4 linked regions of the Rhinolophus ferrumequinum genome follow. The protein of the gene in region 4 binds, or shares a complex with, the protein of the main gene of each other region. Links are inferred from orthologs where the notes say so. Each region holds a gene or a part of one and is shown on either strand. Other genes may lie near its edges.

Region 1 (7,746 bases), on a different chromosome or scaffold from region 4:
CCTTTGTTTTAGTGCCTTAGAGAGAGGCTATGAAGGGAGAGGGAAGGCTGGATAACCCCTTAGCGGACAGGTGGCTGCCCCATCATGTCCTGCCGGCATCCCAAGCTGGAGCCTGCCTCTACCATCACCCTTACCAATGCTCCTTAGCCGATGGAACCAGCGGGCTGTGCGCGGGAAGTGACTGTAGAAGGTCGGATGGGGGGCTCCCAGGAGATCAAGAAGTATAAAGAGCTCCTAGAGAGAGAGGCCAGGACTGGAGAGGCCAGGTGGGATGCTGCCAACCTTGCCTTACCCCCTCCCTCCCTTGCCAGAACCCAGAGGGACCCTTGTCTTACAATAGCCTGGATCCTGGTGGGACCGGGACTGTGGGGTGCAGACTCCATGAGCTGGGCCAGGTGCCGGGAGCCATAGAGAGAGTCCTTGGGTCCCCACTCCTTCAGCGCCTCTTCACCATCCAAGAAGAGCAGCTGCAGGGTCACCGGGGCCGCCTGTGGAAGCCGGTGGTCAGGGCCAGCTCAGTGCCAGCCCTCGACACGACCCACCTCCATTTCCTGCCCGCCTGCACAGCTGAATGGGACAAACTAAGTCTCCTCATTCACAGAGCGTGGTGGCCTAGAGTACAGACTCTGAGCCAGCTGCCTGGGTTTAAATCCTGGCTCAGCCACTTCCTGGCCGAGCAGTCACAGGTAAGTCACTAACTTCTTGAAGTATCAGTTTCCTCATGTAGAAATGGGGTTAGTGGGCCAGCCGGTGGCTCAGGTGGTTGGAGCTACGTTGCTGGTTGATTCCCACATGGGCCAGTGAGCTGCGCCCTCTACAGCTAAGATTGTGAACAACTCTCCCTTGAGCTGGGCTGCTGTGAGCAGCCGGTGGCCAGCGTGAGTGGCCGGCAGCCAGCAATAGCTGCCATGAGCTGCTGTGAGCGGCCGACCGACAACTGGCTGGCGATTGACTGCCTCAGCAAGGGGAGCACAAAGCTCATAATACCAGCATGGGCCACGGAGCTGTGTCCTACACAACTACTAGACTGAGAACGCTTGAACCGGAATGGGCAAGGGGAGGCAGAAGAAGGGGGAAAAAAGCGGAAGAAGGGGGGGGAAGAAGTGGGGTTAGTAACAGTTCTATTCATAGGGTAGGATTTGAATCCAAGTCCCAAAACTGCCTGGCATATACTAAATAAGGGTGAAGCTCTGATTATTGGTTATTCTTCAAGCTTGTTTAGAAAAAGAGATCCACAAACGAATAATTATACAAATAGTGAAATGCAGTTGGGACAAATGCTTGCAATAACTATAGGGTCCTGAAAGAACACAGGAAGGGGGTGGGGGATAACCTGGCCTGGGGAGAACGTCTGGTCTCTTAGAAAGGGATGTTTGCACTGAGGATGAGTGGCAGCTGGCCTGGCAAAAGGGAGCAGAGGGAAGAGTGTTCCCAGGCAAGGATGGAGTGTGGACCAGAGCTGGGGCCAGAGAGGTTTGAGAAGAGGCCTGAGGAGTCAGCAAGGGTCAGGGAGCTTGGGCTTTGGGACACTGGGGTTTAAACCATGGAAGAAAGGGCCTGAGCAGGGAAGGCGCGTGAGGAGACTTGTGTTTTCATTCATTCACTCCATACATTTTTATTGACATTATACTTTAAGGCAGGCAATATTCTGGACTCAGGGAATAGAGAAGGAAACAAAAGCAGCCAAGTCTCGGCCTAGATGGAACTTATTCTAGCTGGGGAGACACAGATACATCAACATAAAACACCATAAATCATGGGATAGTGACAGGGAGCTATTTTAGGGTGGTTGGGAAGGCCTCTTTGAGGTGACGCTGGAGTGGACACCTGAATGAAGGATGGGAGCCAGCTAGGAAGATATCTGAGGAAAGCACATTCTAGGCAAACAGCAAGTGCAAATGCCCTGAGGTGGGAGTGTATCTTGTGGGTTTGAGGTATACGGAGGTGGTGGGTGGCTAGAGTGGACTAGAGAGGTAACAGGACACACATCATGGGTCCATGCATGAGGTAGGAGCCATGGGAGGGTTTACGGCAGAAGAGGGACATGATCTGACATTCAGGAGGTGGAAAGATCCTGTGGCTTTGTGTATAGAATGGAGGCAAGAAGACACGACCAGGCAAGGGAGAGTGGTGGCTTCAACCAAGGTCATGGCAGCCCCTGCCCTCCATCCCCCCCTATCCCTGCTCTCACCTGATCTTTGGCCTTGCTCAGCTCCTGGTCGAGGGCCTGGGCCAGCTCCAGTAGCAGGGCGCAAGGCACAGCTGAATCCGTGGCCCCCACAAAGGGGGCTGACCCAGATGGAAAGAGCTTTGAGTCATAATGGCAGGCAAGGGTGAGATGACGGGCAGCTCCTGGGTCCAGTGTGGCCACCACGTTGGCAAAGTCCAGTGGCCCCAGGGGCGTTGAGGCCGTGAAGGGGTCCAGTTCCACATGCCAGCCTGCCGTCAGGGCCCGCAAAGTGGCCTCCAGGAACTAGTGGCAAGAGAGAGGTGGGAGGGTGGGTGGGAACTGGGGAGGAGGTCGGGAGAAGGGCCACGTGACCTGAGCCATGCAGAGCAGTCTGGCTGATTCACAAGTCCCACTTTGGTTTAAATCATTCCTTTGACACTTCTGCTGAGTACCTACCAAGTGCCAGGTGTGGAGCGACCCTGCTTCTTGAGGCCAAGACTAATCACAGCTCACTCTTCAGTGTACCAAGCCCTGTTCTAGGAACCCTATGGGATAGGGACCGTCAATGGCTCAGTTTACCAATGAGGAAACTGACAGAGAGCTTAAGAAACTACTCCAAGGTCACACTGCAAGTGGCTGAAGTGGGTTTTGAACTCAAGCACTATTAAAATGACTCTTGATGCTGTCTGGGAGGTAATATAAGGGATGTTTCAGCACCAGCTCCGGAGCCAACCTGTCTGGGTTGAAACCCTAGGTACAACATTTACTAGCTGTGGGACTTGGGCAAAATGCCCAACTGCTCTGGGCCTCAGTTTCCCAATCTGCATAATGAATATCACATAGGTACCCACCTCATAAAACTGTTACTTGTGCTTAGCACATAGTAAGCTTTCAGTGAGGGCAGTACAGCCTAGTGGTTCTAGAGTCAGATTCGCTCCACTCAAAACTTAGTGCTTTGGGATCTTGTGCGGAAAGCCCATTTCCCAGCGGTCTGCGGAACCAGGTGTGGCCCTTTACCTTTCTGACTTGGAGATTGCCTGGGCTGCCCGGGGTCCGCACAACCAGCAGCGGGCGCAGATAAGTGTTCCAGAGACGCTGTGGGTCAAGTTGCCCCACCACCCTCCGCATTCGGGCTTCGGGGAGGCTTCCGATCAACGGGCCCTTGGGGGGCGGGGAATTGGGAAGAGAAGAGCAGAGCGTGAGAACAAACCCCATTCCGACGCTACCCCGGACGCCGTCGCCCTTAAGAAGCCGGGAATCGCAGCCTCCAGCATCGGAGGTTTCTAGGATAAATCCTACACGCAGGAAAAGTCCCTCCGAGCCCATCTGGTCCAGCCCACCCCAATCCTGAAAAAATCGAGGGGAAATCGAGGCGCAGCGAAAGGAAGGGACTCTTCCAAATAGTTGACTTAGGATTAGAACCCAGAACTCCCAGTTTTACTACTCCAGACCCTTCCTCTTAATGGGGAGCCACTATTACAGAACAAAGTCTGAAGCCTCATTCTATTGACAAGGGGCATGCGTCTTAATGACCGAAACCGCGGCACCTGCGGCTAGGGCTACACGATAAAGCCACGTCAACCTGAGACGTTAGGAAAGGGGAGACGGGTAATGAGCTCCCCCGCGGTGGCCGCGCCCCCGCCAGGCCTTACCCGCAGCTCCCGGCCCGTCGGCAGCTCTTCAGTTCGGCGGTGCCAGCCGCTCCAGATGGTGTAGAACGCGGAGGCCACGGCCAGAGCCAGCAGCAGCAGGGGCAACAGCTGCACCCGCGGTAGCAGGCGGCGACTGGGCGGTAAGGATGGCTCCAAGAGGCCGCGTTCCCCGAGCCGTAGCCGGGACCGCCCGCGGCCCCCGGGACGCATGGCAGCTTCGCCCTGAAACCGGTCCCCGACCGCGGATCGAATTTAGGCCCAGCCAAGTCCCACCCCATAGAATCACCGGACCAATGAATAACAAGAGCGGCTGCACCATTCCACCCTTCCTCAAGCAGCGAAGCCAATGGGGACTTTCGTTCTGAGGGCCCGCCTTACTGTCTCCCTGGGGCTTTTGGCGTTGGTTCCACTGAGGGTTGCACAACCCAAAAGGGAGCAAGAAGGAGTAGGCTCCGCCTCAGCGTTGGAGGGGAAGCCTATGAGAAGCGTTTGACAATGGAAAACATTCGACCTAACGGACCCAGGTCCACGCCCCTCCCGGATGTAGGCAAATGATTGGTTTTGTGGAGTCGGAAAGATCAATAGACGCGTAAATGAACCGTCTCTGCAGGAAATAGGCGGAGTCTATCCCTGAAGTGAAGAGAGGGATTGGCTTCTCGGAGACCGCGCCCCCGAAGGGAGGGCCGGCGGGCATTTGGAAATGGCGTGTCCTTTCTCGCAACCTGTGCTGTTCCACAACAAAATGATTTGAGTCGGGCCCTCCGTCTCTCTTTTTCTCTCCATTGTTGTGAACATCTGTCCTGTATAGTCCTGAATGGCCTTGAACCACTAAGCAAGGCTTTTACCTTAGCGCTGCGCAAGGCTGGCGGGGGTTGCTATGGCAATAACAGGCCACGCCCCCACAGCTAGTTGGGTTTGCGCAGGCGCCTACGGAAGTGGGCCACAGGAAGCGGAAGTCCCGCCTCTCTCGCGTTTTCTCTTCGGAAGCAGAGGAAGCGCGGAGGAAACCAGAGTGATCCGAAAGAGCAGACGCTACCACCATGTGAGGCCGGGCGAGGCTTAAGCGGCGGGCGTAGGGTGGAAGGTGCAAATTTGGTCACTGACCGGTGGAAGGGGGTGGGGAGGACGGAGGGCTGAGGCAGAGATTTTTAGGGGTAAAGTGGCGTACTTTTCTTGTGTTGAGTTTGAGAACGGGCGTGGGGCCTTTGACCCAAGATCGGTTCGGGAGAGGGAACAGCTTTATCAGATAATGGGCTGGGGGCTTTCCAAGTAATTTTAAGGGGGAACGATTTTACGAAAAAGAACTTGCGAGAGGGGAGTGCGGACTTTAAGGAACAACGATTAGAGGTGAGGGACTATCCGGATCATTTGAGCTGGAGACGGTTGGCCTTTCGACCTAATTCGCAACTTTACGGATAACGAGTCACAGGAATGATTTTACTTTATCCATTAAGTCATGATTTATTAAGTGCTCATGTATCAGGCACTGCTTTAGATATATGAGATATATCAGTGAATATCCCTCTCCAAGAAAAGTCCCCACCTGCAGCTTATGGGGTGGGAAGAGGTAGATAATTAAGGTCATGATAATAAACAGGTAAAGTATATGGTGTGTTAGGTGACCGGGGCTATGAATAAACAAACAGTAGCGCAGGGTAAAAACAATGGGGAGTGCCGATTTTGAGAGACAGTAACTGATAACTATCACAGAAGGACACATTGAGAAGGCAATACTGGAGTAAAGAAAGTGAGAGCTCGAACCACAAAGATAACTGGGGAGGCATCCAGGCAGAGGGAAAAGCCAGTGCAGAGGCCCAAGATAAAAGTTTGCCTAATACCTTAAAGGGCCACCTAGAAGGCCCCTGTGACTGGAACTGAGATTGAGAGACGTAGGGTATGGTAAAAACTTTGGATTTTACTTTTTTTAAAAAAATTTTTATTGGGAAACTGTGTTTTTCCAGGACCCATTAGCTCCAAGTCAAGTCATTTTCAGTCTAGTTGTGCAGGGCGCAGCTCAGTCGCCCATATGGGAATCGAACCGGTGACCCTGGTTAGAGCACTGTGTTCTAACCAACTGAGCCAACCGGCCGCCCGGATTTTACTTTTTTACACTGAGAAGGGAGCCACAGGATGATTTTGAAGAGTAAGATGATGTGACTTAGATCTTGGCAAAACCCCAGGACTGATCTGTGGAGAACACACTGTTGGGGAGCATGTGTGGGGTGCAGGCAGGGAGATCAGTAAGACACTAGGAGAAAGATGATGGAGATTCAGGTCGTGGTAAGAAATGGTCAGATTCTGGATATATTTGAGAGGCAGATGGCAGGATTTGCTGTCAGGTTGTAGGATGTGCAAGACAAAAAAGAGTCAAGTTAACATCAAAGTTTTTGCTCAAAGAACTGGAAAGATCGAGTTGCCATTGATGGAAATGAGGGAGGCTGTGGATAGAGTAAGTTGAGGTGGGTGGGTGTTGTGGATCACAACCTAGAACGTGCAAGATTGGAAATCACCATCCAAATGGGTATGCCCGCGAGGACGGAGCAGGAGGGTGGGTGTGTTGGGGAAAGGTTGGAGAGACACTGAGTGCCATGACCGTGACCATGCTCCAGCGCCAGGCCCTCTCACCTATGGGTTCCATACTTGCCCACTCAGGAGCCTCCTCAACAAGCCCAAGAGTGAGATGACCCCGGAGGAGCTGCAGAAGCGGGAGGAGGAGGAGTTTAACACGGGCCCACTCTCCGTGCTCACGCAGTCGGTCAAGAACAACACCCAGGTGCTCATCAACTGTCGCAACAACAAGAAGCTCCTGGGCCGTGTGAAGGCCTTTGACAGGTGAGTGCCTGGGTCTGTTCTGTTCAGGCTGGAGAAGCGGTCCCAGCTCCCGTCCGAGGCGCCTAAAGACCAGGTTTCTCAGAAGCCAGGGGAGTGAACGTCTTAAAACCCGCTGCCCCTCCAGCTGTGCAGTACAGTGGTTATGGGCATATACTTACGAGCCAGTCCTCCTGGGTTTGTGTCCCAACTCTGTTCTTAGCAGCCACATGACCTTCGGCAAGTGACTGTCTCGTCCATCCAGTGGCAGTAATCGTGGTGTTTGCAAAGATTCAGTGGCTTAATACATGGGAAGTGTAGTCAGTCACTAGAAGTACAGCATCTGGCACACAGTATGCTGTTACCTAGTTATTACATAATACGAGTGTGCACCCATGCCAGGTACTGTTTTAGGCTCTGGAAAGACCGCAATGACTAAAATACACATGGTTTCTGTACTCAGGGAGCTTATGGTATAGATAGGGAAGCCGACAGCAAATAATGTGTCAAAAAGACAAAAGATGAGAACTCATATGAAGAAAAGTGAAGCCAGGTAAGGGTATGGAGTACGGGGCAGGGGGTACTGTCTTTGATGGGTAATCAGAGCAGCCTCCTGGGAAGAGGCAGCAGTGAACAGACCTGAATAAGAGAAAGGCGTAAGCAAGGGTCTAAGTGTTTCAGCCAGAGGGAGCGACTAGGAGTTTTTCTGTCCGGGCTTCCGTTTCCTTATAATACCCCTCAGAGAACAGTTGTAAGGACTGAATGATACTGTGTATGATGAAGAGCAAAGGGCTCTGTACCTAATACATGACAAATGCTCAGTAAACATAGAAGCTGCGTGGTTAGCATCTGGGAAGCGCTTTCTTCACTGTAGTGTGCTGAGGCTTGATTCTGGAATGTTCTGGCCACTAGCTATTATGTGACCATGGACAAGTCTTTCCCTCTGAGCCTCAGTTTCCTTTTGAGTAAAAGGAGAAGAACAACAGGAAGCACAAGGAGGCAGATAGATCTGGATTTGAACACAGGCTCTGTCACCTCCAAAGTTTATGGTCTGGGCTGAGTTCCCATCATCCCACTGTGTTTAGTTCCTGCCCTAGACGTGGGAAATAACATCTC
Region 2 (7,142 bases), on a different chromosome or scaffold from region 4:
CACTGGCTGGATGCACCAAGTCTGGTGTGGGGAGGGCAGTTTTCCCCTGTGAAGCCTGCCAGGTAAAGCCTTTGTAATTGCATAAAGTCAGGCCTGAAAAATCACACATAAGTTTTTAACCAGGAGCTTACTGCTCAGAATTATCCCCATTTCCTGACAGCAAAGCTCCACTGTCCCCAAATCACCAAACAAAGCCCAAATCCTATAATAAATATGTTAGTTCTAACACCCTCTTACTGAGACATCTTCCAGTTTCAGTAATCATGTGACTAAGGAGTGTTCTGGTGGAAAGAGGATGCTCCATAAGTATTAACTATATACATACAGCTCCATTTCTCAGAACCCTGTCCAGCACCATCCATCCCCTACTTTCTATGCATCAACCATACTGACCTTTTTCCAATTTTTCCAACAGAACCTACTTCCTCCAGCAATTAAGGCCTTGAACAAACTCTCCTCTACCTGCTGAGACTGAATATACAAATGGGCAATGGTCAGACCATAAGTGGAAAACTAGAACTCCGACCCACAGTCTGCAGCAACCATCCCAGGAAATCAAACCAGTGTTCTACAGTAACTAGCCTGGGAAACCAGCCTGCAATAAGTCAAACTTACAGGAAGTCAGAGTGGTATCTCCAGCAACAATCCAAGAAGCCAAACAATAACCCCTGTAATAATTGTCCCAAAATAGTCAGGATTTGATTAATAATTGACAGATTTCCTAATTTTTTTCCCTGTTTCCAATTTAGGACCAACCAAAGAAAACCAAATACACACCCTTAACCAATTTCATAGGGTGTCCCACTTCTAAGTAGAATAGGGGTTCAGAGCATGCCACCCCAAAATATGCCACTTTGACATATTATTTTAAGTTAAAGGTACTTGGAAAACAGCAGATGCAAGATGGGTGCTTGGACCTTCCTTTTTCTTCCTGAAAGCAGGAGATAATACTCCCATGTGAAAGGTACACCTCCCTATACCAGAAGGAAGGAAAACATTCTTACCATTAGAAATGGAGATTCAAGGCCAAGATAAAGCTATACAAACAAATCTTATTCAACTAACCCTTATCTTCTTAGTTACTTTTCCAGAATTATAATAACTTCCCTAGCACAACCCCCTTTGTCATGTTACATGTTCACAATTTACTATTCTTTGTCCAACCTAGTATGTAAGCTTTGGGCCCTAACTTCTTTGGGCCTGGATTTTTCTTGTGAAGGCTCCCATGTACATGTTAAAATTACTGAATAGAATTTGTGTGCTTTTCTAATGTTAATCTGTCTTATATCAGTTTAATTCTTATGCCCCGCCAGAAGCCCTAAGAGGATAGAGGAAAAGTATTTTTACCTCCCCTATAGTAGCCCACCTCCAACTTCCCCAAGCCAAGAGCCTCCAACCAGCGCATACACAGTCTTCCCCTTTTTCCAGTATAAAGCTTTCCTACTCCTCTTCCTGACTTTGAGTCTTTGCCAAAATTCAAGTAGCAGTGGCTGACTCCCTTTCTATAGCAAGCTCTGAATAAATAGCCTTTGCTTGTTCTTATTCCTTAGTCTTCATTTATTTCCCTACCACAAGACTCCTCCATACCCCATCCCCTCAAGATTTTCCTTAATAGTTCTTATCACAGTTAACATTTAAAATTCATTTGTATCATTGTTTAACATCTCTCTGTCCACTAGACTGTAAGCACTAGGAGAGAAGAAGATCATTGTAATTCCCAATGCCTACCATAGTGCCTGGCACATAAGAGAAAACTGATAAATATTAATTGGATGACTGAATTAAATTTTCATGGTATAAAAAGGCAAGTGAAATTTTAGACTGTGGCCAAAGTAAAAAGAACTGAGAAAGTACGCTTAGAAGAAATTCTAGTGCGGTAGATATTGAATAGGAAGGGAAAGAATAAAATGGATGGCCTAAGCTGTGTCTCTCACTTGGAATGCTTCTTAAAATGTCAATTTCAGAGCCCCACATCCAATCAACAGAATCAGACCTCTCTGGAGGAGAGAGTTATAGAACCCAGGAGTCTGTATTGTAAATAATTTCTTCCAGATAATTCTTATATACACTAAAATTTGAGAATAACTGGGTTGCTTAAGGGGATATAAAACACAGCGACAAATTTGCACTTACCTGTGTAAGGATGACTTAACAGATGCCACCATCATCAATAAACAGTGTTGATTGTTCTCATAACCCTCATATAACTCCTACAACCAACCACCAATGTAAGAAATACTGAAATACAAAAAAATCTTTCCGTTGTAAACTGAGAAGTAACTGGAAATCTTTGAAAACGGCACCAGAAATAGTTCAGAATCTTAGGAATGGTTCTTCTTAGGGAGAGCTTAGATGAAATAGTTATTATTTTAAAAGTTCAGCTTTCCAAAAATTAAGCATTTTTTTCAGAATAACTTCATCAACCAAATATAGCTACTCCTCCGCTGTCCCATATCTTACTGAAACTATCAAAAATATTTAATTCAATTTCCAACTTATAACCATATTAAAATTTGTTCCAAAACTCGTTATTCATTCTTTTAAGTCAGATTAGTTTTGAAGTAACAAAAAGCAAAGCTTATAAATTTTTAATTTACTTTCCTCTCTCCTGAATGAATTCATGCCTGTGTATTTAAAATTTTAGAATCATTTCAGAATCATTCATTTATTACTTACGTCTTTTGTAAAATAGTGTATTATTATTTCCCAGAACAACCTTTGTTCATTCTGCTATTCCTCTCTTTTCTTCCTTCATCCATGTGTAGTTCTGTCACGTACTTACCAGTCGTATATATGCAGCCCAGTGTTAAGCATTGTTCCACTGGTCGTTGGTCTACTTGGTAATTACCTGTTCTTTATTTCCAGAAAAATGGGTGAGGGGAAGTGAATTGCTAATAAGTTAGCTTCCCCAAAAAAAAATATTTATAAGAAAACCCAGAAATAAAGTCGCTGCTCATTTTTTCTTATTTTGTTCTTGATTATTACCAAAAAGTTTGGGGATGGGAGTATTTCTCCATAATCCTTCCCTCTAAGTCTGTTTCTTCCAAAATCAGTAACATTTTTAACCAAATAACTTCTACTTTGACTGCTGTGAGGCAATGTCTTTCCATGTCTCCCAATTGCTTAGTAACCATTCATACACACTAAGTCTTTCGTTTTTAACATAAGGACTAGCCTCACTATTTATCTTCAATTAAGTAAGTTACATTCTGGTTTCTAAATCAATTGCTAAAGGCAGTGCTTTAAAAAGAAAAAAAAAGCAACGCCTTAGTCATAAATATAAACGTTAGAAATAAGTCAATTGTATTCACTCAGAGCTTGTTTAGAAAGATTGAGATAGAATATTTTCATTATTTCTTGCAATTTATGACCCAGTTAAAGTTAAACTAGTTCTGCTTTAAACAAAGCAGAACGTGTAAAATGGAGACAATAGTGTAAAATGGAGACAATAGTATTCGCCTCACAAGATTGGCCCTAAGATTAATAATGGTGATTTCTGGGTATTGGCATTAGCTTTATCCTTTGCACTACTTATATTTCAGCAAAGAGATCTTTCTGAGGGGGTAAAAAAAGCGATGGCTACTCTAGGAGTGATATTCATTTCAGACAAATATAAAGTGATCTTTGAAATAGCCAAGCACAAGAAATTCCTCTGGAAAATCGGTTTTTCGTTTACTCGGCGTCAGAAAAATCTGGGTTGGAACTGGCTCTTCCCCTTTGGGAAAAAGTCACGGTTGTAGTACTTAACCACTCTTTCGGTCGATTTTTCTCCCTTACGAAACCGGTATGATACCTACTTCAAGAGGTTGTAAAACTTAAGTGAGGAAATGTGACCTGTCTGCCAGGGTTTAAGAATTGAGAGATCAATAAAAGATAATTACAGTAATGTTGCTCATTAATTAAAAAAAAAATTTAAGAATCCCTCGCTACTAGGGATACCTAAAGGCTAGTAAGCCCCAGTCTTTACCCTACCTAGCCTTGGAAGAGAGAACAGGACAAAAGAGGGAACACGCAGAAACATCTCAGAACCACTCCCGCAAGGAACTAAATTCGCAGTCTTCCTTACACCACCGGAGCCTTAACCTTGAGACAATGAGCAGGTTTGCTCATGCGCATTAACACTCCCTAAGCCTCGCCGCTTGCTCCACTCTGCGCCAAAGATGCCTACTTGTGCGCCTGCGCTGTGACCTAAACGTGGGACTGGCTGGATTGGAAACTATGGCGTGGGTACCAGCGGAGTCTGCAGTGGAAGAGTTGATGCCCCGGCTGTTGCCAGTGGATCCCTGCGACTTGACAGAAAGTTTCGATCCCTCCGTACCCCCGAGGACGCCTCAGGAATACTTGAAGCGGGTCCAGTGAGTGATTTGGCTTGTGCGGGTGGGCTGTTCGTCCTTCCTGCTCCAGAGCACAGCGCCCGGTGCTTTGCGGGACCCCTAGGTTTGCTAAAGCCCCGCCTCTGTTCCGGTCCCCAACCTCCTGCAAGTTCGGATCGGAGCAAGATCACTTGTTAGCATTTTTAGGTGGACGAGTTTCAGTGAACTTAATTATATTAAACTTGATTATACATGGCAAGATGTGTGCTCTTAGATTTCCTTGCTTTCAATATAATTTCAGAAATACATTAATTAGTACCTCAATTGCAATTCTGAACTTTTTGTCTGATATCATAATAAACTTTAGAAATGGATAGCTTGTTTAACTGCAGATGAGCAAAACTCAATAGTAATTACATTTCTTGCATTTATTATTTATAGGATCGAAGCAGCTCAATGTCCAGATGTCGTGGTTGCGCAAATTGACCCAAAGAAGTTGAAAAGGAAGCAAAGTGTGAATATTTCCGTGAGTTTTATTACCCGTCAGGTGACTTTTTTACCACTACAAATGAAAAAAACAAAGCTGTTCCTATAGTATCCAACAGTATCAATTACGATGTAGGTCAAATTTGACTGCCCCTACGAAGTTAGACATTTGTTTGTATTACTTTTTCCCCTTCAAGGACAGTTGACATTTACTGCCGCCAAAGAGGCTTTAAGTAACCCTGGCATTCATGGAGATTTGCTCTTCATACTTTCAGGACATGATCCAATCCTAAAGAAGTCTTTAAATAGGTTACTTATGCTGTCCTTTATTTTGAAGTAACCTTTTTCCAGTTGTCTTCATAATTATTGTTGGACTGTTTAATCTTAGTGCAGTTTGCATGGTCTAATTTTCATTATGTTTTGTTTTTTAAGACTTAGAAACCCAAATATCTTACACTTTTTTTAGCTACTTGCACACTGTAAACATTTTCATTCATTTATCCAGCACATTTTTTACTAAGCAAGTAGGTTGTGCCAGGCACTAGAAATATAACCAGGGATGATGAAACAGAAAAGGTCCCTACCCTTGTGGAGTTTACATTCTCCTGAGGAAGACAGGGTAAACCAGCAAACAAGTGAAATAATTACATATTGTGACTATTGATATGAAGAAAATTAACATATAATGATCAATAAATAACAAGAAGAATTACTTTTCTTTTTTTTCAGGTAGAACTACTTTAGATTGTCACAGAAGGTCTCTCCCAGGAGGCAGTATTTAATTTAAAGTCAAAGGAAAGCAGCAGTTTTAAATTGTGATTATTCCTTTTCGTTTTATGTTCTAAGTAATTCCCTTATCAGATGTTTATAATTAGGAAATTTTAATATTTCATATAATTCCTTTTTAGAAGTTTTTAGTTGGTGGGAGATGATGTCTTATATACCTGGCTTTAAAAAGTGACCTCACAAAGTTTTATTTCAAGGCAGTGTGTGATCAGTTGTGAACTGTATGCTGTTTTTGGAAAAAGAAGTAGACATTTTAAAGTCAGATATCTTAAATTATTTGAGTACATTCTGACTATACCAAAATTTTTTATCTGGGATATAGCTCTTTTTTTTTATAGCAAACTGTTTTTGCTGTTATAGAAAGGTAGGGCTAGATTGTGTCTTCAAGACTCATATCATTTAGATTTCTTAGAAACTGCAACTGTAAACCATTCCAGATTGCTGTTATTAAAGTGACTCTATAAGGATCTTTTCCTAACATTTTAAACTCACACAGAAATAGTAAAATGAAATTCCTGCTCTTTTGCATGAGCAAGAAGTACTTTATTTTTCTTGTACAGTCTTAATCATTTACTTTCTTGTTCACTGTTCATATTGATTTTACTTGGCAGGGGCATGAGACTCTAGTTATAACACTAACATTGATGGTAAAAATTATGAACTGATCTCTAGCTTTCAGGATGCCAACCTGCTCCTGAAGGATATTCCCCCACACTTCAGTGGCAACAGCAGCAAGTGGCACAGTTTTCAGTTGTTCGACAGGTAAGTGTACCTTAATCTTTTAATCAAATTAAACACTACCCCTCCCTCCCTCAGATTTATTTCTGTTCTTAGATTTTAGTTGGGAAAATGAGGTTCATGATTCTGAAGAATAAAGAAAAGAATATTTAAGAATCAATTACCAAATTATTATTATAATGACTAGATGTAATAGTTTGAAACATATCTTCCCAGTTGTAGAATTGTTAGAATGTTGTGCAGCACTTTATTTCTTTTCAGTTATCCATTCTCTGAAGATCACTGTCTACCTCTTCTTCCTTTAGAGTGTGAACAGACATAGAAATCACTGGAAATCACAGCAGTTGGATAGTAACGTGACCATGGTATGTAAGTTTCTCTGTTGAAGTTATACAGTGTATACCTATTTGAAATTGTCCATATTTACTTCCAGTCTTTAAAAATTACTTACCTAGTCCATATAATTTTCATTCCCTCCCATCTACCATTAATAGTAACAATTTCATTATATTAGTAGCCTGAAAAGTATAGAATCAGCAATGCAAGCTTTTATTTTTATGACACTTTTAATCCACAACATCTTCAGAGACTTTGGATGGGTAATTGTTAGGCCCCTACAAGTTTTTAAGTTTCTTCTAGACAGTTGTTTTTTAGGAAATAAACACATTTTCAGTATTTACAAAAAGATTGAATAAAGGCTCATTGGATTTTCCTGGTGAAAGAATGGTGCCAATACCAGTGACTTTTTACTGAAGCCTGTCATGCATACCGGAAAGTAGTATTTCCTACATTTTATCAGCTTAGATATAATATTAAGCT
Region 3 (7,230 bases), on a different chromosome or scaffold from region 4:
CCATTGTGCATCAGGGTTGAGGCTCACTGGTAAGGGTTAAGGAAATCATGTCGAACCAGAAACGGAGGTTTACAGTCAGAATCTGGAGGAATACCAACATGGAAGGGTAAATCGAGGAAGAAAGTCAGCAAAGGAGACCCTGTGTGGGCCAAGAGACTCAGTCTTTTCATCTTTGGTGCCCTACTTCTCTATTGTAAGACTCTAGTGTTGAATCCACATGACTTCTGGGCATGACTGTTTTCAACAGAACCTGAATGAGCGACCTCTCCTGCTTCCGGGAGTCGGCAGCCAGTCCCTTGCCTCCCATCTCCCTGCCACAAAAACCTAGACAAACTGATCTATACACATATGATTTCTCTAGTAGCCTACAAATCATTCTCGATATTAAACAGCAGGAGGCTGGGAGAGGATCCCATAGGTACAGTGGTTCCCATGTCTATTCACATTTGTAATTTACCCAAAGCTGAAATCTTTTCAAGTTAATGTTCAATCTGTTGTTATCTTGGGCTTTGTGATGTAACATACATAGCAGCAATAAATAAGATTTCCCGCTGGGCAGAAGTAGCTGGTGATGTCTCTTATTATTTCCTTCTTCCTGTGTCCCCCTTCTTCCAATTACAATAGCCGTGGCTCAATCTCCTTGTCTCCAATTGTGTTTGTGACTTACTTTTTACATGTAATGAAAGGACAGGGTAAGCAGGAATGGGGCCATGTAAACAATGCCAGGAATGGAGGACAGTAGCGGCAGGTGCCTCCAAACCTCCTCAGGATCAAGTGATGGTGGGTGGAGAGGGAGAGACAAATTGCAGGTTGGAGCCAGAGCTCTCAGGAGCCTATGAGTTATTAGGTAGATTGGAGAATAAGCCCCTTGTCTTCTTGGCTCACTCAAAACAAAAAGGGGAGTTTGAGTTCGGTGTGTTATAAATCCAACAAGAGAAGCTGCATTGCAAGAAATTGGGTGGGCAGGAAAAAAACACATTGAACTCAGTTTTATGGACATTTAAAGGTTAATAAAACATGGTCTCTGCCTTCGAGGATTTTCCGTCTAATGAGGGAGATGTTTGTAAAACTAGCTAATGGAATGGCAGAATGAAATAATTGCTAAATAGGTGTTTAATAAAATATTTTCTCTAAAGAAGATGAGAAAGCTTTGTGGAGAGGTGGCATTGGGGTTTGGCATCAAAAAGATGAGGAAAATTTCAGTCAGAAGGTTGGCAGCCAGTGGTTGAAGGTGGCATTCCAGGCTGAGGAAGCAGCGTGAGCAGACGTGTTAGAGTGTGTTCAGGGAGTAGTCAGCCAAGTAGTGTGGTGGAGCAGGTGGCACATGGAAAAATTGTGGGTGAGGCTGTTATCTTAACGTCCCCATTTGTGTCACCGGTGTGATAAGGGCCTCTTCTTTCCTGTACTAAGTAGGCCCAGAGATTTCTCAGATCTGCCGACTTCAGCTGTATCAGTTTTTAAACACAATAGGGATGGAACTATATTCTCTACTAAGGACCATATCAGAATCACTCCTAGTGACTTTTTTTTTTTTTTTTTTGCTACTGTTAAGAGTCACCCCATGTGAAAATTCTGAAATGACCCGTTGCTTGAGAATCACTGCCATAGGGAACCACTGTTCTTATGAGACTGTCATATCCCTCAGGTGTGCTGTGGTAGAACAAAGGTTGAGAACATGATCCTGAGTGTAAACTCCCCAAGAGCAAGGACTATGTAGATGATTGCTTTTTTATTCCCCACAGATTCCTATATGGGGCCTCCATAAGGAGACAGTTAATACTATATTGCCACCATTTCACACCATAATTTTTACAGACCCCAAGTGTTTGGTCAGTTGACTTCTGGCCATCTGTGAAATTGGAAAAGAATAATAATGAGCCCCACCTTCTAACTTCATTGCCGTTCTTTGTACAGAATCCTCAGCATGGATGGGCTCATTGAGGACATCAAGCGACGACGGTACTACGAGAAGCCTTGCCGCCGGCGACAGAGGGAAAGCTATGAAACCTGCCGGCGCATCTACAACATGGAAATGACTCGCAAGATCAACTTTCTGATGCGAAAGAATCGGGCGGATCCATGGCAGGGCTGCTGAGGCCTGTGGGTAGTGGGCCCAGTATGAAAACCCCTGTCCAATGGTGTCTCCACCTCTTTTCTTTCTCCAACCCCATTTTATCTTTCTTGCAATAAGCTCAATCACGGATATATAAGAAGGCCTGCATATATAGAAGCAGTCCCACTAGTCAGTTATTAAGTGAAAGAGAAACTGTGCCAAAAAATAGTCTTGGAGTAGAATGGTGATTGCCACGAGCTGAGTGGGGGTGGAGGGGAATGAGGAATTACTATTTAATGGGTACAGCATGAGTTTGGCAAGATGGAAAAGTTCTGGAGATGGGTGGTGGTGATAGTTGCATAACAATGTGAATGTACTTAATGCCACTGAATTGTACACTTTAAATGATTAAAATGGTAAGTTTTATGTATATTTTACTATGATTGTTTTTAAATAGTCTAGGAAAGCTGAGGACATTTTCTAAAATGTTGTAGAATATATCTACCATTTCTTACCCAATTTCTATGAAACACAAAGCAAGATCTTATCATTGGGAAAGCATGTTACTCTTTACTTGCACTGCCCTCAACTGTTAAATAAAAGGAGAGGAAGCATGTGTATATCTGGAATAAATTCTTCAGAAACTCCCATCAACCAGACTAGAGTGCTGGAATCCTTGTCCAAAGGAATCCTTAAGACAAATCTAACATTCACTCCTGTTTTCTGTTTTTCCTAAAGGAGGCTAATGGAGGGATGGTGGAGAAGAAATAAAGCGGTAGATGGATGGTAGAAAAGAGGAAATAGAGTGTTAAGAGACCGGAGGACACAGAGCCTGAAATACCTAGAGCAGCAGTTCTGAGATTGTGCTCTTAGGTCAAAGTGTGCTCTTCAGATCTGCAGTATGAAGATCACCTGAGAAATTGTTTGAAATGCAAATTCTGGGCCCCTATTTTAGACTATGTGAATTGGAAATTGGGGTTGGAGCCCAGTAATCTATTTTCACAAACCCTGCAAGTGATTCTGATGCTTGCTGAAGTCTGAGGATCACTGCCCTATAATAGTACTTAAAAGAGATTCCAGGCTGAGGTCCCCAGCGCCAACCCTACCTCTCAACAGGCACTCCTGGGTCTGTGATTCTTGACAGCTGGGGGCATCTGACTGTGGGAGGAACCAGCTGCTCTGCTTCCTTTCCTGCTGTGTGCTTCCTCTGGCCTTGGTCCCCTGAAAGCCATGCTGCTGATATAAGGAGTGTTGATGCCAACCCCCAGAGGAGAACGGAAGAGGGTAGGCGGAAGCAGCTAGCCCACCTCTCCTCACCCAGGCTGCAGCCCTCAGCATAATGTTTAAAAAGGAAGTAAACTGAGCAGACAGCCTGGCCCCCTACCTCTCCAAATTGCTAGTGTTCAAACATTGCCCCCTTGTGGTGTATATATTGTTACCTATCAGGTAGCTTTATTGAACTCAGAAGCAGCTGTTTTAAACGCATTTACCTTCGGTCACTTGTGGTCCTCACAGCAGCCCTCTGAGGTGGATTTTTTTTATAGGTGAGGTAACAGGGCTTAAGCAATTTGCCTAATGTATAAATAATGGGTGGGAGAACTGGAATACAGATCTAAGCAATCCGGCTTTCAAGCCCCTGCTCTTAACCATGAAGCAGTATTGATTCTCAGAAGAGGATGCCTGGTGCATACTAGTAGGCAGTCAATAAATATTCAATTAACGAATGAGACAAGAGGAGGGTGGGGGAGAGTTGCTATCTTCAGAGTCCTCCCATACACGTCTATTTTCTGCGTCGGTCTCTGGCACCACTGTTAATTTACTGAAGGAGAAAGGTTAGGGAGACGTGGCTAATGTGATCTCGACTCTTACTGAGGATTGACTTTATAACACACGAAAGGCCACGTTTAGCCTGAACTCATAAGCCCCGCTTTTAGTTCTAGCGTAACTTCAGCGCACTGACTCGCCACACTAGGAATATTGCAAGCAGCCCGATTTCTGTTTCAGGCAACATTAACCTTGCAGTAATCCAGTTAGGAGATTTAGCTGGGGAAAAGGAAGCCGTGGGGAGCTTGCACGGGGCAACTTTAGGGCTCCGCCACGCATGCGCCCCGCCGCCAGGAAAGTGGCTACTACGGCTGCGCGCGTCGGTGGCCCGGCCCTCCCCGTCACGTGTGGAGGACCGTGGCGTGGCGGCGGCAGTGGCGGTAACGACGGCAGGCCGTAGGGCGGTCGGAGGGTTTCCGGTTCCGGTGTAACGTTCGGGCTCCGTCTCAGGGGCTGAAGTTTGTGAGGTGAGTAGTGGCCCCGGGCCCAAAGAGGGTGGCCTCGGGTCGGAGCGCCTGGGGCCGGGGCTCAGTCCAAGAGGGGGACCGAGGCTGGAAGGTTCAGCGGGAAGGCAGCTGAGAGGAGAACAAGGTTCTGCGGGAGAAGGGGTTGGAATGAGATTGTTGAGAGGAAAAGGGCGGGGGCGGGAAGGGGACGGGGTGCGGAGACTAGCTCTGAGACGAGGAGTTTGGGGAGAACAAGGTGGGCTCAGGGCCGGCCGGGGAGAGCAGAGAGAGAAGAATGGAGGTTTGGGGGTGGGGTGGGGGTGGGTCAGTCGGGGTGTTGCAAAGAAGAGCACGGAAATCCTTCAGAAGATTGGAGTCTGCACCCTCCCCATTCAGAGATCCTTCTGCCTGCCTCCCCACGCCATAACACACACCCGCCCCACGCAGTTACTGTCCAACATTTGATTAGTGACAAAGCTAGTTACTGTTGGAAACTTTCATTTTGGCCCACGGGCTGTTTAGTTTGCACATTCTCTTAGGAAGGATTGGGTTGCACTTGAATACATTTGTTAGTTTAGTGTTGGGCACACATTTAATCTAATAGACCGGTTCCTCGTGTATCGCTTTGGATTTTCAAATTGCTTACACTTTCTAGCCTGTGATTCAATTCTAGTGGAACATAAGCCCCGTTAAGACGAAGATTCTTGTCTGTTTTGTTCACTGGTGTACGTATTCTCAGCACCCACTATGCTGCTTGACACTTAGTAGTTACTCAATAAATATTCGTTGAATGAATTAAGTACCAAGATGAGTAAACTGAGGCTCAGAGGAATTACTTGCCCAAACGCTGGTAAATGGTAAAGCTCCGTGTTGCAACTCTTCAGTGTGAGCTCTTTATTGACTGTGGTATCTGAATATGCTGCTTTTAAGCAATGCACATTTAATATATAGGAGATTGAGAGGTTATACTGCTGTCTCATGATGGGTGAATAGAACCACCTAGAAGTATTCACATAATGTGTCACTGAGGCAGGAAATCTATCACTCCTAATTTCATGACTTCAATCTACTAGTTTCATACGGTTATACCCAAATTTAATAACACCGTTTAGCAACAGGTCTTATAAGGGACGTCCCTGCCAAGAATGTAGAAGTTAATCAGACCGTGTCTTTTAGGAGAAAAGATGCCTTAAAAACGGCCTGAGAGCTTGACTCCTACATCAGACCCTGATATGTGGCCCTGCTGGGAGGAGGTTATCTGGGAAATTGAATTCAGTGCGGTTTATTGACTTTTAGGCACTATGGTGAAAATAGGGGAAATACAATTTTCTCTATGCTCATGGGTTTTGAAATTTAGGTAGGAGATCAAAATGTAAATGTGACTATTGTTTAAGAATTGTACTAACTTGTGTTAAATGACAAATTAAGGATTTGTTATAGAATCTTGTATGATAGTGTAAAAAGTAGAAAAATAAAGGTGAAAAGGCAGAACATCCAAAATGGGGGTATTCTTTTCTGAGCTGGGGGATTACCTTACCCAAGTCAACTGACAAAGACCCTGTAGAACATGAGAGAAAATTGTCTGGGTACAGAATCCCCACTAGCTTGCATATGACTACAGAGAAATAGAACATTCTTAAGGATACGAGCTTTGATACAGGATGACTGACCTGAATAAGCCTTCCTCTATCTGCATCCCTTAAAAGTAAGGAAACCTGTAGGTTACGGCTGAGTTAAGGAATGCCTGCCTAGAATTAAGAATAGAAAAGCTGCCTCTGGCTGGGCTTTTTCAGTCTTGTTTCCATATTATACTCATATGTTTGCCAGTCCTGTTGATACAACAGGATCAAAAAAGGAGCCAGAACTCATTGCTCAGACTAGGCCATTCCCGGGTTTTATCTGTTTATTCCACAAGTTTCATTGACTCACTGATAGTGAGTCAGGCTTAGAAATCTAATGGGGGAGGCCGGCCCAGTGGCTCAGGTGGTTGGAGCGCTGTGCTCTTAACGCCGGGTTTGCCGGTTCGATTCCCACATGGGCCAGCAAGCTTCACCCTCTACAGCTAAGATTGTGAACAACAGCTTTCCCTGGAGCTGGGCTGGAGCTGGGCTGCTGTGAGCTGCTGGAGGTTGGCATGAGCTGCCGTGGGCTTCTGTGTGCTGCCACGGGCTACTGTGTGCCGCCATTAGCAGCCGGCAGCCAATACAAGCTGCCATGTGCTACTGTGGGCTGCTGTATGCTGTCGCGGGCTACCATGTGCTGCCATGAGTGGCCAGCGCTAGTGACCGGCAGCCAGCGCGAGCTGCCGTGGGCTACCATGTGCTGTCATGAGCGGCCGGTGGTCAGCGTGAGTGGCTGGAAGACATCATGAGAGGCCAGCAGCTGGCAAGAGCTGCTGTGAGCTGCTGTGAGCGGCCAACTGACAACTGGCGACTGACTGCCTCAGCCGGGGGGAGCGCAAGGCTCATAACAGCAGCATGGGCCAGGGAGCTGTGTCCTACACAACTAGACTGAGAAACAACGGCTTGAATCGGAGTGTGGCGGGGACAAGGGAGAAGAAGAGGGGGGAATCAAATGGAATGTATTTCTGCTTTGAAGTATAGGTTTTAGGGAAAGTATTTGACTTGAAATGAAGAGGAGCAGCTCGACTAAAGATTGAGAATAGAGGTGGGGAAGACATTTGTAATGTAATAAGCATTGACTGGAATCACTTTAGTCTTTTCCTGTCCTCTAACTTAATTCTTTCCTGGTTTCTTTTTAGGTGCAGTACTAAATCCCATTTGACTTACCTTCCTTTTCCTGAAGAATGGCACTATCTAAGAGGGAGCTGGATGAGCTGAAACCATGGATAGAGAAGACAGTGAAAAGGGTGCTGGGTTTCTCAGAGCCCACAGTGGTCACAGCAGC
Region 4 (7,452 bases):
GTAACCTATTCCACATTACTTGTTGTATTGGCCACAATCAGGAGCATAGGAATCCTTACAAATGTCAGACTATATGAAATCATGTGTAATTACACTAATTTTTGATACATAAGTAAATCATATTTGATGTACAAGTCATGTCTGCAAGTCTAGATTTTCTTTTCTAAAACTAAACATACTCAGTTTCTTAAATGTGCTGCGAAAGCATAAAATAGTTTGCGTTTACAATACTGTATTATAAACTTCAAAGTTGCTAAGAGACTTGCTCTTCCCACCACAAAAAAAATAATAATTGTATGAAGTGATACAGGTATTGTTTACCATGGTAATCGTATTGCAATACATAAATGTATCAAATCAACATGTTGTACACCTTAAAGTTATGCAATTTTATATGTCGGTTACAGCTCAATAAAAACAAATTTAAAAAAATATTTTGTTTTTGTGGGGAAAAGTAGCTTTCCCCAGTGTTATTCTTTATCATTTTAAAAGATATTTTCAATTCTGATTCATTAATGCCAGAGAGCTCAATCTGTAGTTTGATTAAATCTTAATTATTCTGTAATAGCATGTTTGACAAAATTTGTTTTGCCTTCTATCAATGGGGTTTTTTTTAGAGTTGTCTGTCAATAAACTTTACAATTTTGTTCATTTGACTTGGTTGTCTACTAAAAATAATCATGCTCCGCTGAATAAATTATTTTGCTTGACTGAGCGCTCAAAGATTATACAAGCTCACAGCGACCTGACCCCAGTAAAAAGAGAGGTCTCCATTCCTAAAAACTCCTGAGAAAGTCCTAGGGGAGAGCTCTGGTTGATACACCTTTTGCCATGTGCACAAGCTAAAAACAAATACTGTGTCCTAGATGATTCATCTTGGTGCTTAACATGGTTCTGTAAGTTGTGAAGCTCATTTCCACAATCCCTACACAAATTCTGTTGCTAAACTCCAAATTGTGACTGTAATCTCCTGGGCTTGCTTAAGTTATTTGTTTCCCTTCCTGACTCCAAACTGCAGAATGTTCTTTTCTGTACTTGCTTATCATTAGGACATCTACTTCTATTAACTAACAATGGAATAGTTGCATTGTCACACACGGTACACTCTCATTTCCTTGTTTTTCTTCCTTGTGACCAATCTAAATGCCTGTAACATATAAAACTTCTGCTAACTCCCAGAAGACAGGGTAGTCTAACTTGTAGACTGACTCTTCTGCTAGCAGCAAATAAAGGCTTTTTCTTTGTTGCTCCACTCTCGTTGACTTTATTTTAGGACTCTTGACAGTTTTATAAAATGAGACAGTAAAAATTCTAAAGACTTTTAAGGTAGAAAATAAAAACAAGGAAAAATTCAACAATTTGGTATAAATCAACTGATAATGACATTTCAATTTGCCATCCTTTGGTAAACCCACCACTAACACATACAAATAATAATGCTGTCCCCACATACTTGAGAGGGGATAAGTAAGTGTTAGCCAGATTGAAGAACTTAAAGTACAATAGTCTGGAGAGGAGAGTGAGCTTGAAGAGTTCCAGGAGCTCAAATATTCTAATACTATTGAGGAGAAAAGGGATTAAAGTAGGCAGAGCTCAAAGTAGGAAGAGACTTGAGGACACTAGGGAGGAGTACTTTGTGCTCAATACTAGGGATACTGCAGTGAACAATACACAAGGTCCCCTTCTTCACACAACATGCATTCTGATGGGGGAGACATTCACTTATTTTACAAATATTTCTTGAGGGCACATTGTGTGCAAGACACTATTCTAGATGCTGGGTATGCAGAAAGTGAACAGAACAGATGCAAATCCCTGCCTTCAGAGAGTTTCCATTCTCATGTCAGTCAATAAATAAGTAAACAAATAACAATTAAATACAAATAAGGAAATCAATGTGGTAATAAATAGAGCAGCACTGTCTAATCGAGCTTCCTTTGGTTATGGAATTGTTCTATATCTGCAGTGTCCAAAAAGGTAGCTATAGCCACATATGAGTATTGAGCACTTGAAATGTGGTTATTATCATTGAGGAAATGAATTTTTAATTTTGCTTAATTTTAATTTAAACAGCCTCACTTAATAATTGTTTTTAATCCAGGGGCTCATTAATATTATGATGAGTTTTGTTTTTTTAAAACTCTCTCTTAGAACTGCTGGTTCTTCTCTTGTTTCTAAGGAAGTTTCCAATAACTACCTCTCCATTCATGTCCAAAAGGAGCATAATACCACGAAGTCCTGATTAGATCAGCTTACATCCCAAGTCCACTGTGGACAAGTAATGGAATGTGATTATTGATCTAAAGGTAGAGTCAGCTTCCTTAGGAACATACAAATCACCAGATTACTAGAAACTGTTGGAAAAAGAAGGGGATAGATGTTGAAAAGGCAGCACATATTCATTACAGTCTTGCTACTCAAATTGTGGTTCATGGACTCAGGGCATCTTCACCAACTGAAGGCTTGTTAGTGTTAACAAAATTCGACAGAGTAAATCTGAAGATTTAATTGGCTTTATTAAGTGATTTATGAATTGAGCAGCATACCATCTAGCAACTAGAAGGGTATTCTGAGGGGTTGTACAAATTGGAAGCTTTTAGTAGGAAGCAGAAAAGGGCAAGAGGGCTATTACTGAAAGGAAAGAAGCCAGGACATCTTTTCAAGAAAGAGAAGGGGAAGGGTTTCCATCATGTAGATCTCCTCTTCTTTCCAACTGGTGCATAGAGAGGGCCTAGGTGTCAGATGCCCTTCCTGGTGCTTGATCAGAAAATTCCAAACTGGTTAATTAAGATTTTGGTTCTGGGAGAGATGGAAACTGCAATTTCAGGTACGAAATCTAGGTTTGGTATCAGAGGCTATTAGCACGAGTGACGCCTTTTTGGGCGTGTGGCTTTTTTTTCTTTAACATTAGAAATGCAGGAGTTCAGAGCCCACACCAACTAAATCAGAATTTTCATTCTGAAGTTTGCTCCAGGTGAGTCCTATGCACATTAAAGTTTGATGAGCATTGCCTTAATGAAGTCCAAGATTTCCGATGATCAGGGATGAAGTCCAGACTGATGATACAAATTAAAGCCATGGTTTTGGAGATCATCTAAGCTAAAGAAGAAAGTATCCAAAAGGAGAAAGCCCCTGAGTACCATAGTATGTAATGGCTCAGTAGAGGATGAGACAGCTAGAAAGAGGAGTAGCTAGTAGGATAGGAATAAAACCAGATGTATTTGCCATCCTGGAAGCAAGAGAGGAAAGAGAGTGTTTCAAAAGGGGAATGTTTGCGTTGAGTGCTGCTGAGATGTTTAAGATGAGGATAGAAGTTTATCTTGGAGGTTTCTGATGACTGTTAGAATAGCAATTTCAGTGTAGTTTGAAGAGTGAATTGGAGGTCATAAAAACAAGCATAGACAGCTCATTCAAGTTTTTCTGTAAAAGAAATCTGGCAGTAGCTGGAGCTGCATCAGAGGTGACCTTTTGCTTTGTTTTGTTTTTCAAATTTTTTTGTGGTGGGGAATATTGGGGAACAGTGTGTTTTTCCAGGACCCATTAGCTCCATGTCAAGTCGTTTTCGATCTAGTTGTGGGGGGCGCAGCTCAGCTCCAAGTCAAATCATTGTTTTCAATCTAGTTGTGGAGGGCACAGCTCACTGGCTCATGAGGGAACTGAATGGGCGACCTTGGTGTTATGAGCACTGCACTCTAACCATTGGGAAAAACGGCCGCCCCAGAGAGTTTTGTTTTTAAAGTAAATTTGTATGCTGATGAAAAAAAAAGTCCAGTAGAGACGGAGAAACTGATGATTCAAGTTAGAAGGGAATAACTGAAGGTATGAAATTTTTAAAAAAATGAGCGAGGGGATCCATACTACAGTGAAAAGGAATTTGCCTTTGAAAGAAGCAATACTTCTACTTTTGCGACAGGAATAAAGCAGAAGAATGGCTTCTGTTTCTCCAAGAAGTAGGAAACATTAGCAGAGAGTGATTTGGCAGAGGGACTATAAAAGTTTTGAGAGGAATAAAGAAAGTATGAAATAATTTGTGAGCTTATGAGAAGCAGAACACTATCTCTGGGCAATATAGGGTACCCTTTTGAGGTTTGCTACCAGAATTTAAAGTGAAAATAATTAGCTAAATTGTGTGATTTTCTCCATGTACATTAAGTAGTGCTGAGGTTCTTGGTTTTGGAGCAGAATTAGCATAATCTTTTGGGCTTCTCTCAGACCTTTCCTTCGCACACGGGTATATTTGGTGCTGCATAACACTAGATGCCGTGCCAAAGTGTCCACTAATTGAATTTAATATCCTCAAATCTCCCTCTAATAGGAAATTTCCTCCTAAACCAGACCTAAACGCCCTCAGCAGTCGCAAGGCACACCTCCAGCCGCTAGGGGCCGCAATGGCGCTCCTCGCGGGCGGAAGGGAGTGCGACCCTGCGCGGCCTCAGCGTTTCCGCCGCGCGTTCGCAGAGCTCTGCGCGCCCTTTACGTCGGAGATCCAGGAGTAGGCGTTTCCGGCCATTCATACTCCAGTCCGTGGGGCCTTGGTTGTTGGGGTTTGTGCACTCTTCGGACCGAGAGCGTGACGGCGCCGCTAGGATGAAGCTCGTGAGGTGAGGCGGTGACCAAGTGGAATGAGGGCTCTGACGGGACGGTTTGGGCCGGGAGCAGGAGACGGCTGCCCCAGTTGCAGGAAGCGCGAAAGCCACGTGCGCGCGCGGCCTGCTAACGGCCTCCGGCGCTCGCCGCTCCCGCCCTAGGTTGGCGGCGCCGGCGCGCGGGCCTGCTCTTCAGAAAGGGTCGTTCCGGGAACCTGTGTGTCTTCCAAGAGGTGGATGTAAAGGCCGAGCCGTTTCTTCCCATCCAATGTCTCAAGTGCCTTAAAGATGCAGGGGCAGGCGTACAAGGTCTTGCTTTCGGTTACCAACCGATTTTCATTTCCAGTAGAACTCGTGCTCTAGTTTAGGTTACTTTTCGGTCCCATCTTCAGTTCTCAGGAACCGGCAAATGTAACTAGGTCCACGGTCCCTGAGAACGTGGGAGACATAAAGAAAATTTATTTCCCTGTGTAAGTAGTTTAATGCGCTTTTAAAAAGAGTACTTAGAAGCTGCAAAGGTTTATCTGGAAAATAAACCCATTTCCGAAGTGTTTTAAATCAGGGATGGACTTCTGACTTAATGTTACTTTTTTAGAGTATTTTTGGATGTTCTCTAAATTTAGGATTATTCGACCTACATTTCCCTTTAAAGTAGGCCTTGCATTTGGGGGGGGGGGGAAATCTCCCAACTTGGGGCAGAATCACTTTCTGTATTTGTAGCTGATTGCACGGATGATCGATATGTCTTCCGTTTTATATCTTTCTGCATTTAATTTCTAGTATGTTTGAAATAACATAAATCCTTCAGGGTGGAGTTTGTAGAGAAAGCATTTAAAGTGAACTTTTTGTTCGTTTTAATTTGAACTGTAACTGGATAATAACGTCTCAAAATTTAAAGTATATTTTCACAATTTCTCAATATCTGGCAGTCTGAATTTAGTTAGTGTGCTACTCTTTGGGATCAGTTTCTCTCATTTAAAGATATTCTGTGCTGTGACAATTTTCCTGTTAATTTCAATGGCTGTATTGAATCCTTTTCTGTGTCTTAGAATAAACAAAATTTCTTCTTACTGGAGAAGGCATTTTGAACCAAGAAAATGGCTGTTTGTCTAACCGGATGGCATTTTCAGTTGACTTTTTTATTTCTGTACCTAAGTTGGTGGAACTGTCATCCTAATCAAAAACCTGGGAGTTGTCTTGACTTCTTCCTCTCTTGATAATCCTGATGTCTGATAAATTGCCAGGTTTGAACATTTTTATCTACTTAATGGAAGTATCTCTCACTATCCAATTCTCTTTGATTTTTAAATTTAAATAGTGTGAATTTGGATGCTGAATGATACCATGTTTGAATATTTGAATAATATCTGAATATCTAAGTTTCAGTAAGTAAAAAGAATTCAGATAGTGCAGGATTCATCAGAAAATGATTCCAATCTACTTGGTTTCTAGGCTCACATTATTGTGTCTGTTTCTCCTGCTCATGATACCCTCCCTGCCATTCCAGTTGCCACCACTGAGCTGTTTAAGCTCCCTTTTTTCACCCATGTTTTTTATTAACCTCTTGAGTTAAATATCTCTTACAATGATATTTAGTGTACAGTTCCCAATTTTGAAAAATTTATATACCTGTGTGATCCAAACCCTATCAAGATATGGAACATTACCTTCCCCCACCCCCCCCCCCCATTTTCTTTTGGGTAATTATTTAGGAGTGGAGTTGCTGGATCATAGCACAGGTATACATTTAGTTTCATAAGAAACTGCCAAATCATTTTCCAAAGTGGTTGTAGCATTTTACACTCCCTCAAATGAATGGTATATTAGATATATTAGAGTTACACTTGCTCCACACCCTCATCAGCATTTGTTGTCAGTTTAAGTTTAGCCATTGCAGTGCTTGTATAGTAGTCTTCTTTTGACTTTAATTTGCATTCTCCTAATGACTAGTGATGTTGAATACCTTTTCACCTGCTTATTGGCCATTTGTATATCTTTGTGAAGAGTTTAATTATGGTTGTATTTTTCTTTTTATTTTAGTTGTAGGAATTCTTTATGTATTATGCATACTAGTCTTTTGTCAGATAGAATTTCTCCTCGTTTGTGGTGTGCTTTTTCATTTCCTTAATGTCTTTGGTGAGCATACGTTTATTTTGAAGAAGTCTTAATTTACCAGCTTTTTCTTTTATAGTTATTGCTCTCTGTGCACTGTCAAAGAAACTTGTGCCTACCCTCAAACGATGAAGTTATTCTCCAATGTTTTCCTCTAAAAGCTTTATAATTTTACTTTGATTTTTAGATTTATGATCTGTCTTCAATTAATTTTGGTAAGTGGTGTGAGTTAGGGGGTCCAGGTTCATTTTTTTCTAGATGGATTTCCAGTCATTCCGTATTATCGTGGAACATAAATCCCTATTATGGATTTCATTTGTTGGAAAGGCTTTCCTTTGCCCCATCAGACTGCTTTGGCAGTCCCATGAGCACCTTTGTAGAAAATTGACTGTATAAATGTGAGTCTATTTCTATTTCTAGGTTCTATTCGGTTTCATTGATCCGTTTGTTGTTCCTATGTCTTGATTACTGTAACTTTAACCTCTATAGTGCTGTAGCCATCTGATTTGTCTTCCAATGTAAATGTGATCCTGGCAATCTTTATTGCTGAAAACCCTTCAGTAACTCTCCTAGAGGAAATTTTTAACAGAGCTTAGGCTTTCCATGAAAGGAATCTGCCTAACTCTTCATTTTCTTAGACTTAATATTCCATCGGTTGTACCTATAATTTTTCTGTACATTGTGCTGTTTCTTAACTACCGTATCTTTGCTCTTCACTCTTTGCTGCATATTTCCAACTTTTCAGGCTTCCTAC

What was found.
Region 1: SNRPD1 (region 4) and SNRPD2 share a complex: the UniProt entries of both Homo sapiens proteins name them as parts of the SMN-Sm complex. The link is inferred for Rhinolophus ferrumequinum from reciprocal best matches to the Homo sapiens genes SNRPD1 and SNRPD2.
Region 2: SNRPD1 (region 4) and GEMIN2 share a complex: the UniProt entries of both Homo sapiens proteins name them as parts of the SMN-Sm complex. The link is inferred for Rhinolophus ferrumequinum from reciprocal best matches to the Homo sapiens genes SNRPD1 and GEMIN2.
Region 3: SNRPD1 (region 4) and PRPF3 share a complex: the UniProt entries of both Homo sapiens proteins name them as parts of the U4/U6-U5 tri-snRNP complex. The link is inferred for Rhinolophus ferrumequinum from reciprocal best matches to the Homo sapiens genes SNRPD1 and PRPF3.

The regions. Positions count from the first base shown.
Region 1 is NC_046298.1:41,996,803-42,004,548, reverse strand, and holds the start of SNRPD2 (small nuclear ribonucleoprotein Sm D2), read left to right. Parts: upstream 1-4,726; 5' UTR 4,727-4,862; coding exon 4,863-4,864; intron 4,865-6,474; coding exon 6,475-6,654; intron 6,655-7,746. Other genes in the region: QPCTL (glutaminyl-peptide cyclotransferase-like protein), read right to left, coding at 135-234, 336-488, 2,192-2,473, 3,188-3,331, 3,823-4,032. UniProt on the Homo sapiens protein: Plays a role in pre-mRNA splicing as a core component of the spliceosomal U1, U2, U4 and U5 small nuclear ribonucleoproteins (snRNPs), the building blocks of the spliceosome.
Region 2 is NC_046289.1:86,468,031-86,475,172, forward strand, and holds the start of GEMIN2 (gem-associated protein 2), read left to right. Parts: upstream 1-4,126; 5' UTR 4,127-4,218; coding exon 4,219-4,355; intron 4,356-4,754; coding exon 4,755-4,860; intron 4,861-6,257; coding exon 6,258-6,347; intron 6,348-6,628; coding exon 6,629-6,688; intron 6,689-7,142. UniProt on the Homo sapiens protein: The SMN complex catalyzes the assembly of small nuclear ribonucleoproteins (snRNPs), the building blocks of the spliceosome, and thereby plays an important role in the splicing of cellular pre-mRNAs.
Region 3 is NC_046305.1:50,663,187-50,670,416, forward strand, and holds the start of PRPF3 (U4/U6 small nuclear ribonucleoprotein Prp3), read left to right. Parts: upstream 1-4,211; 5' UTR 4,212-4,344; intron 4,345-4,388; exon of another isoform or gene 4,389-4,468; intron 4,469-7,084; 5' UTR 7,085-7,129; coding exon 7,130-7,230. Other genes in the region: MRPS21 (28S ribosomal protein S21, mitochondrial), read left to right, coding at 1,915-2,095. UniProt on the Homo sapiens protein: Plays a role in pre-mRNA splicing as component of the U4/U6-U5 tri-snRNP complex that is involved in spliceosome assembly, and as component of the precatalytic spliceosome (spliceosome B complex).
Region 4 is NC_046302.1:17,462,089-17,469,540, forward strand, and holds the start of SNRPD1 (small nuclear ribonucleoprotein Sm D1), read left to right. Parts: upstream 1-4,443; 5' UTR 4,444-4,587; coding exon 4,588-4,601; intron 4,602-7,452. UniProt on the Homo sapiens protein: Plays a role in pre-mRNA splicing as a core component of the spliceosomal U1, U2, U4 and U5 small nuclear ribonucleoproteins (snRNPs), the building blocks of the spliceosome.